Coturnix japonica: one gene and its partner. The protein of the gene in region 2 interacts with the protein of the main gene of each other region in a biochemical or structural test. Links are inferred from orthologs where the notes say so. Each region holds a gene or a part of one and is shown on either strand. Other genes may lie near its edges. The genes, in order: PTPN11 and KIT.

Region 1 (3,810 bases), on a different chromosome or scaffold from region 2:
AAGCCCTGGGATTGAAATGCAGTTACCTATACCTCCACCCAACTATTTGTTTCAAAATACGAAGAATTTTCAGGGGAATGCTGCAGCTCCATATGCTGCTCTAAAATCAATACCTAACAGGCTGCAAAACAAACGCAAGTCAAAGATATAAATCATTTTTAACAGGAATGCAGCTTGGACATTCGCTTTTTCATTGCTTAGAATCAGGGAAAAAACGGGCTAACATAGCTCTAATTCAATCACCAAAGCAACACAGAACTGCTCCCTTTGACAGACGGCCTGATGCATCTGTAGGCTTCGACATTTAGAGCTTTCAGCATGCTGCTTCTCTCTCAAGGTTATCTTTGGCCAGGGATGTATTCTACACACTGAAGGGTGGCTTAACCTATTACTTCTTTAATTTGGTTCCTGCAACAACAGCTCCTGTTAGCCTCGTGAAGGCTAACACAAAATTAGATGAGAAATATAGTGGGGAAGACAGATGCAGCTTCCAGCAACAGCAAACAGACCAAGCACCAAATACCATAGAAAAATATTTCTTATTAACAGCACCTAGTGCAGATTTACAAGAATATATGGGAACAAGGGAAGCTTCTTCTGCCAATAAAAGATACAGCATAAGATGCTTTGCTGTTGTTACTTTTGCCATTCTTTCCCTATCGCTGATTAAGTAACCAGACATAAAAGCATTGTACACAGCCAGAGCACACAGCAAAAAAAAAAAAAAAAAAAAGTATTCAACTTTTATGAACAGGGAATTTATCCCTTTTCAAATAGGCAGAATATTTGACTGCAGCACCCAGCTTTCCAGTGTCTCATTCCCTGAGTATTCTCACAATGCAATGATTCACATTCAGTAGCTAGAATTTAATCAGACAACCCTTACAAAAGGGAGGTCTTGTGATGCAATAGGAGTGCATCCTCAATTCCCACAGGCATCAATTAAGAACATTCAATACCTTACAGAATTAAGCTGCAAGTATCCAAAGACCATGATGGCACACTGCATTTCAGCATGTGAGTCAATATAACCAAGTCAGTTTAGATCCCACTTGCACACAAATGTTATGACTGCTCCAGAGACCAGTATAATATTGTTTTTACCTTTCCTCTTTCAACTTCTTTTGTTGTCATAACAATAACTCGAGAATTCTCCTGAAACACCATCCTCCAAAAATCATTCACTGTATTCTGCAGGCAACCTTGAGTAGCAATGTAGCTTTTTTTTGGCTTTGTGTTGTTGCACTTGGTTTCAAACTCAGGCTAGAGACAAAAACAATTTAAGAAATGGAGACAAATGCTCATTTTTAGAAGACCAACTTGGATTTAAAAGAGTAAGTAGGCATAGGTTGTGCCTGCAAGACTCATTTAGGTGGGGCATACTTACCATAATAATATTAGCATTGATATAGTCTGAAACAGGTTCATTTGGATCACCATCATGCAGAACAACTCTGGTATGATCAACTGGAAGAATATATTTATACATTAAGCAGTTGCATCCTACAATTGTGAGCATACAGCTATTTTTAAACATTCAACCAACAGGTACAATTCTTCCTGTTATCAGAAAGTGCTACATTGTGAAACTCTGCAAATCACTGCTAGAACACCCATCCCTTTTTCTGTTACTTAAAACAAGTTTCCAATCCATAACAACATAGATCACAAAACAAGTGTTTATCTGAATCAACGCAAATGGTCTCAAACACTGCTGGATTTGCACTACTCAGTTCTGTACCACAAATTAATCCTCTTAACTGTAAGCATTTCAGTTTGCCAAATGAAAGCATCATATCCCTAAACTGTTAAGTGAACGCTGCAGATAAACATTACAGAATCAAAATATCTGCAACTATAATGAGTAAATGTTTGAACACAGACTGGAAGCTATATGGACTAATACTGACAACATAAAAGAAGGACTTACCACTAAAGAGAAGAAAAAGCACAATGTTAAATTAACCCAGTCTTTTCCAGCTAAAATAATAAAGCACAAAAGTAATAGGCTTACACAAGAAATCAGTACTTACAGGGTAAAATGTTTTTGTATCTATTTTTGTTTTTGTTTTCTTGTCGCTGACCTTCTTTACGGCTATAGAGGAGTTTGCATTCTTGCTGCTGTAAAGTCTGCACAAAAACAGCACGAATAACTGGTGTCAGTAAAAGCACAAAAAAGACAAAGACCTGTTATAATGTTTCATCACTATAGAGATCCGTCCCTCATTCAAATGAGGACACTTGATTATAATAACAATCAACAGTCAGAGAATCGCTGGTTTACTCCATTCAGGCTACATACAGTATTGCTTTCAAAGTATGAAAAGGCACTGACACAAACAGAACACAGGTGTCAAGATTCTCTACCTGAGCTGTACTGGATTCCTCTAGGCCTTACTAGCTTTATTCCCCTCCTTCAGCTATTGCCAATCCAAAGCAGTGCCGCTGGAAAGCCCCTAAACCACATCCCTGAGATCCTTGCAGGCTGCAGCCAGATAATCTCCAGGCAGCCAAAGGGGAAGAAGGAGCTTACAGAAAACCCACCAAAGCACACCAACATAAGCAGCTGTCTCAGCTTCAAGGAAAGTGAGAAGACCTTCAGCTGTTAGAAGCATAATATTAAGATATTCTTTCCTATTCCCTTCAAACCACAATAGGATAAGAATATTCAAAACGCACATATGGCATTCGAAAGCCAGAAAGCAAATTAGCACTGAGTGCAACAACAGTACTTTGTAATTTGTGCCTTACTTTTCATAGAAAAGGTAATTAACCCTCTGAGTGAATCCTTTTCACAGACACAGCTGCTACAAAACTGGCTGACAAATAGGAATGGGTCAATACACCCAGGAGCAAAACGTGACTCCCTTTCTCCCATTGACACAAGAACATCTCACTAAGCCTGTACAGCCAAACATATTTTTCTCAGATTCCTCACATTACCATGCTGGTGGATTGGGGAGGTGTTAGGTAACTACCTACATGGTTATCCATAAATCATCCTAGTGCAGAAGCAATAAATCTGCATGGGGATTTTTCCCGTTGGCAAGGCCCTAATTTCTCAGTGTCTGGTTCCCAATTAATAATGACAGGGACAACAGTAATTCCATACCTCATAGCAGCACTGCTTAGTAGTAAATCCACGTACTTGCAATGAAGCAAAGGGGACAACGACCTCAGTGATTTTGCTCCAAGTTTTAATCTCAAAAGCAGTTTTGGTCTGACTAAAAGAAACACTCTGCCTTTGAAAGCTGCTCTCTTCACTAAGATCACCTTAATATTCCTCCACAGATTACTTTTACTTCAAAGTTCAGGCATGTCAGGCACATTTGCTCACTTCTATTTCAGTCTGTGTTATCATTCCCACCTCACTTAGTGACCTTGGACAGTTAAGCTCATCCTAAAGACAGGGAATCCAAAGAACAAAAGCAAAACAGAGCTGTGAGGTTTCACATACATAAAGCACAGAATGTGTATACCCATAAAGCATGTCTTGTCTGCATTAAGCCCAACTCTTGCCATAATGCAAAAATCTTTTAACTGCCATTATTACAGAGTGCCTTTATATAATATTAACACTTTTGAGTCTCTGCAAAGTGAAACGCCAAGCAAAGAACCAAAAGCTGAACTTTGCTAGCAGGTTAAAACATGGAAATAATTGTGTTGAAACAAGCTTCAAACACCTTTACTTCACACATTTAATGGTTACTGCTTTGAGCATCCCTGAGGAAAGATCCACGAGCAGCAAAGACTTCTAGCAAGCTGGCTACAAGAGGTACACAATGCAACAATAAATCTGGTACAGGAGTC
Region 2 (4,267 bases):
GTCATGAAGCCTTAAGAGAAAATCAATTAGGCACTTGCTTGGAGGTTCCGGGTTGTAACGGAAGGAAAAGAGTCAAGTATTGAGCAATCCTTGAAATCGCCATTCTGCTCTTGGCAGTGGCCTTAGGCCACATTTATATGCAGGAGAGGGAGGAAGAAAGAAATGGGGGAGCAGGGAGGGCAGGATATTTGGATGATCTGAGGGGTCAGGGTAGTGACTAAGCGACAGCATATGAACCCACACCAGGTTCCATCTTCCTCCATCAGTCCTCCCTCCCAGCTGCCAGGTATGGGAAGCATTATGGAAACAGACATTCTTCCCTCTGGGCAAAGAGAGCCTCCTGTTACTCTGCAGCTGACTGCCAAAAGGGGAGATTGATGGATGCTGAAAGGAACCTTGCCCAGCCTTCCATGGCCATAGGATGGAAACACCGCACAGCCTCTGGTGGAGCACTGGGGACAGGGAGAGCCCTAAGGGGACAGGAGAGGAACATAGAAGAGATCATTACAGAAAACTGCAGCCCCAGATGGAAGGAAAGGTGGAAGCAAATGCAAGGAAAACAAAAAATAGGAAGGAGCTGTGGATAGAAGAGATGAATGGTTTACTCTCTGAGAAGTTACTTAAAGCTTTGTTTTCTACATCCTCCTTTCCTATCTGCAACCAAAAGAAGAAGCTCTTGACTAAAAGCCAAGAAAAGATACTTAATATAAGTTTGCATACGAGTAAACAACACGACAGAGAGCTCACCCAGTCCAAGTGTCTGCAAGGACATACAGGAGCAGTCCCACAGCTCTGCCCTCCCTGTCACCTCTGGTGTCCCCTCAACAGGACACAAGCATCCGCTGTGATGCTTCCTGCAGCTCAAAGCTAGTTCTAATATCCTACACCTGTGTGATAAACAGGTGTTACACACATCTACCCAGAAGCACCTGTCTTCTGCAAGTCCCTCCACCTGCATCACCGTGTATTTTTGTCTACACCACTTAGTCTTATGTGGCTGCGAGGTGGCACATCTCCCACAGGTACAAGTCTGACCCTGTCACGGGGTTATCTCTAGATGTAAGTCCATGACAAGGGGGCACAGGACCGGGAAATAGGGGGGGAAAAGGATAAAAAAGAGGAGACAAAGGAACGAAGAAAAAAAGGAAAGAGTTTGCCTTGTGACCCGGTCGCCCCGAGCCACCCGATCCGGGAGAGGGGGAAGGGCAGAGAGCCAGCAGATAGTTTTAACAAAGAGAAAACACAATGGCAACGATCTGAGGAGGAACGGTGATTGACTAAATGAAACCAAATCAGACAAAACGAGAGAGACTTAAGTCCCCAAAGTACGAGTCAAACCACGACAGTGCGAGGGAAGCACGTGCTTTTCTCCGCGGCGAGCTGAGACGGCCAGAGGCAGAGAGCGGCTGGGGTCCGGTCCGGAGTCCCACCCCACTTCCACTTTGTGCCAAGTCCTCCGGGGATGCCGCCCCTCCCCTCCCCTCCGGGAACCCAAAATGCCCCAAAATGTAACACGGAACCAGAACATGAACTCTTTTAACTGCCACTGTTCTGTATGATGTTCTGATGTGGAATCCCGACAACAAGAATTACAAAACCACAAAAGACCCAGAACCAGAGGAAGGATGGAGAGGAAAGTCTCTCCTTGCCCAACGTACTCCCATGACTTCTAGGACACTGACAGTTGCCCAAGTTTTCATGCCAGCTGGCAACCGAGAGAGGAAGGGAAACCTTCATGCTCAAGTACTCGAAGTAAGGAAAGTTTGTGGGTATTAATGAATGAATGCAACCCATTCCAGAGACAAATGTCAAGGAATAGCCCCCTGATGGGTGTTTCCTTTGCTGTGCTGTGTGTGCGGATGCGTGTGGATACTCTGAACAGGAAAGCTCTAACCGTCAGCAATCACGCTCTACCTGCGAGCATCAACAAAGGGAAGCAAAACAGGAACATCACCCAAACAAAATATTCACAGAAACGCTGATAGCTCCACGACTGCCTCGCGTCACAGGCAAAGCGCTCACACCAAAGCCAGACGCTGTGGGCTCCCGGCGCCCGGCATCCCTCCGCACCTCCCCAGCACTCGCTGAGCTGACAGCTCAGAAATACACCTTGCGCGCCCTCCGCGCTGCGTGTGCTCCTCGGGCGCCACTGTGCTGTAAGCAGCACGGCCGCTCCAAAAGCCATGTGCGAACCCATCCAGCGCCGCAGCTCTGTGTTGCACTTAAGAAACTCAGGAACGGGAATCTCCGGCTTGCAGGGAAGGGAACCCCGAGTCCATCAAGAGACACACCAAACTTTTTGTCCGCAGTGCCCTTGAAGGGACAGGGGACCCTTCTCCTGGAGGCGGCTGTAATGAAACGACGCGGCTCCGCTCCGACCCGGGCGCGCTCCGGCCCCGCCGGGCAGCGCGGACACCTGACGGCGGCGGCCGCCCCCCGCCTATTGTTCCAGCAGCACTTCACCACGGGGACATTTTGTACCGATGAAGAGAGAGTTTATTGTCAAAACAGCCCAGCTCGGAGAGCAGGGGGTGTGCACCTTCCCGGCCCCCCTCCCAGCCCCGCGCCGCACAAACAAAGGACTTTCTTTTTTGCTTTTCTTTTTCTCGCGTCCAGCCAAACCGGCTGCCTCCCCCCGGCCCCGCTACCGCTCCCTGCAGCCTCCCCCGGCCCCGCTGCCCCGCGCCCGCCCGCGGCTCCCACCTGCGGGGATGAGGCTCAGCAGCAGCACGGCGTGCGCCAGCTCCCAGGCGAGGTGCGCGCCCTCCATGCCGCCCCCCCGAGCCCGCCGCTCCGCGGCTGCCGCTCGCACCACCCGGCGCGCAGAGATGCCCGAACCCCGCGGGAGGCTGCGGAGTACGGAATACGGAGTACGGAATACTGCCGGCCCCGCCGCCAACAGCGGCCCCGCCTCCGCTGCCCGCCCCGCGCCGCGCCGAGCGGCCCCCGCCCCGCAGCGCCGGGATGGGCGCAGGTGAGGAGCTGCCCCTCGAGGGGGTGGCGAAGGGGGCGGTGAAAAGAGCGAGCCTAATCCTACCTCCCCCCCAACCAGCAGCGCGCACACCCGCTCACCCAAATAAAATAATATTTAAGGAAGGGAGGAGGCTTCGTGGTGCGTGGGGGTGGGCGCACGGCTCGGGGGAGAAGGATGCATCCCCCGAAAGGTGGGTGCAGAGCGCTTTGTGTCGCACTCAGAGCCTCAGTGGACGGTGCTTCTGCCCGGCGGGGATCGCGAATTGGACCCGCATGGAGCTGACCCGGCGCTATGCATCGGGCAGAGTATAAAAGTGAGATGCAGGGCATGTCCTGCGACACAAAAGGAAAGATGGAAAGAACTGGTATTGAAAAGAGAAAGCTGACAGGGAGCTTAAACGTGGAAAAGGTTCTTACAGAGAGGATTGCGAGCAATTGTTTTTCACGTCCCTCAAGGGCAAGATAAAAGTAATCCATTTAGTTCTCGGCAAAAAGAAAAAGGAATAGCTTAAATGTTAGGAAAGCACTTGCAAAGAGTAGGGCGAATTTAGTCTACAAATTGAGCAGAGGAGGTGGTGGAAACCCGCAGAGGGAGTTTTTTAAGTACGGGTGAGACAACTGACAGGGAGGATCCAGTAGCACTTGCATATGCAGCTAGAGAGGCAGAGCTCTGCAGGCAGAAACCGTACAAATTGCAGCAACTAATGCCTTGGCTCTGCTGTGTCTGTCAGTGCCACACATGTGGTGTGTGCTGCCCAGGTGTGTGCAAACACAAGTGGGGATGGATCATGCAGGCTGTCACACCTGGCAGCAGCTCCCACCGTACAGAAAGATGGAGTGGACACATGACACAGCCTTTACCCATGGAAAAACATAGATGTAGATGTTGTGAAACATGGCAGTACAGATCAGAAAAGTTACTGAAGGTAAATTATTCCCTTTTTGTGTGTGTGTGTGTGTTGTTTCTCAACTTCTTTCCTTTTTCACTATTGTCAGATTTTTTTCAAGGTTAATAGCATAGTCCCATATGGTCCCCCATTAGATGAAAGTCTTGTCTTATATGTTTAAAATGGCTCTCTCCATTTCTTTGCTCTCTTTCATCTCTGACAGCAGTCTCTTTTGATGGGTGAATCCTTCCCTGGCTGCAAAACGGAGTGCATTTTTGTTAGCGCTCTGACAGTTTCAAAATCAAACATCTTTTTAAACTCATCTCTCTCACTGGGTGCTTGCCTCATCAAATTAATTATAAGCAGAGAAAACAGAATGGCCAAAATACTTAACATTTTAGTGCTCT

Evidence for each region.
Region 1: the proteins of KIT (region 2) and PTPN11 form a complex in vitro, tested with the Homo sapiens proteins (3 studies listed by BioGRID and IntAct, with this or other methods). The link is inferred for Coturnix japonica from reciprocal best matches to the Homo sapiens genes KIT and PTPN11.

The regions. Positions count from the first base shown.
Region 1 is NC_029530.1:5,551,289-5,555,098, reverse strand, and holds part of PTPN11 (tyrosine-protein phosphatase non-receptor type 11), read right to left. Parts: intron 2,131-3,810; coding exon 2,034-2,130; intron 1,468-2,033; coding exon 1,388-1,467; intron 1,264-1,387; coding exon 1,105-1,263; intron 1-1,104. UniProt on the Homo sapiens protein: Acts downstream of various receptor and cytoplasmic protein tyrosine kinases to participate in the signal transduction from the cell surface to the nucleus. Positively regulates MAPK signal transduction pathway. Dephosphorylates GAB1, ARHGAP35 and EGFR.
Region 2 is NC_029519.1:58,930,654-58,934,920, forward strand, and holds the start of KIT (mast/stem cell growth factor receptor Kit), read right to left. Parts: upstream 2,879-4,267; 5' UTR 2,771-2,878; coding exon 2,704-2,770; intron 1-2,703. UniProt on the Homo sapiens protein: Tyrosine-protein kinase that acts as a cell-surface receptor for the cytokine KITLG/SCF and plays an essential role in the regulation of cell survival and proliferation, hematopoiesis, stem cell maintenance, gametogenesis, mast cell development, migration and function, and in melanogenesis.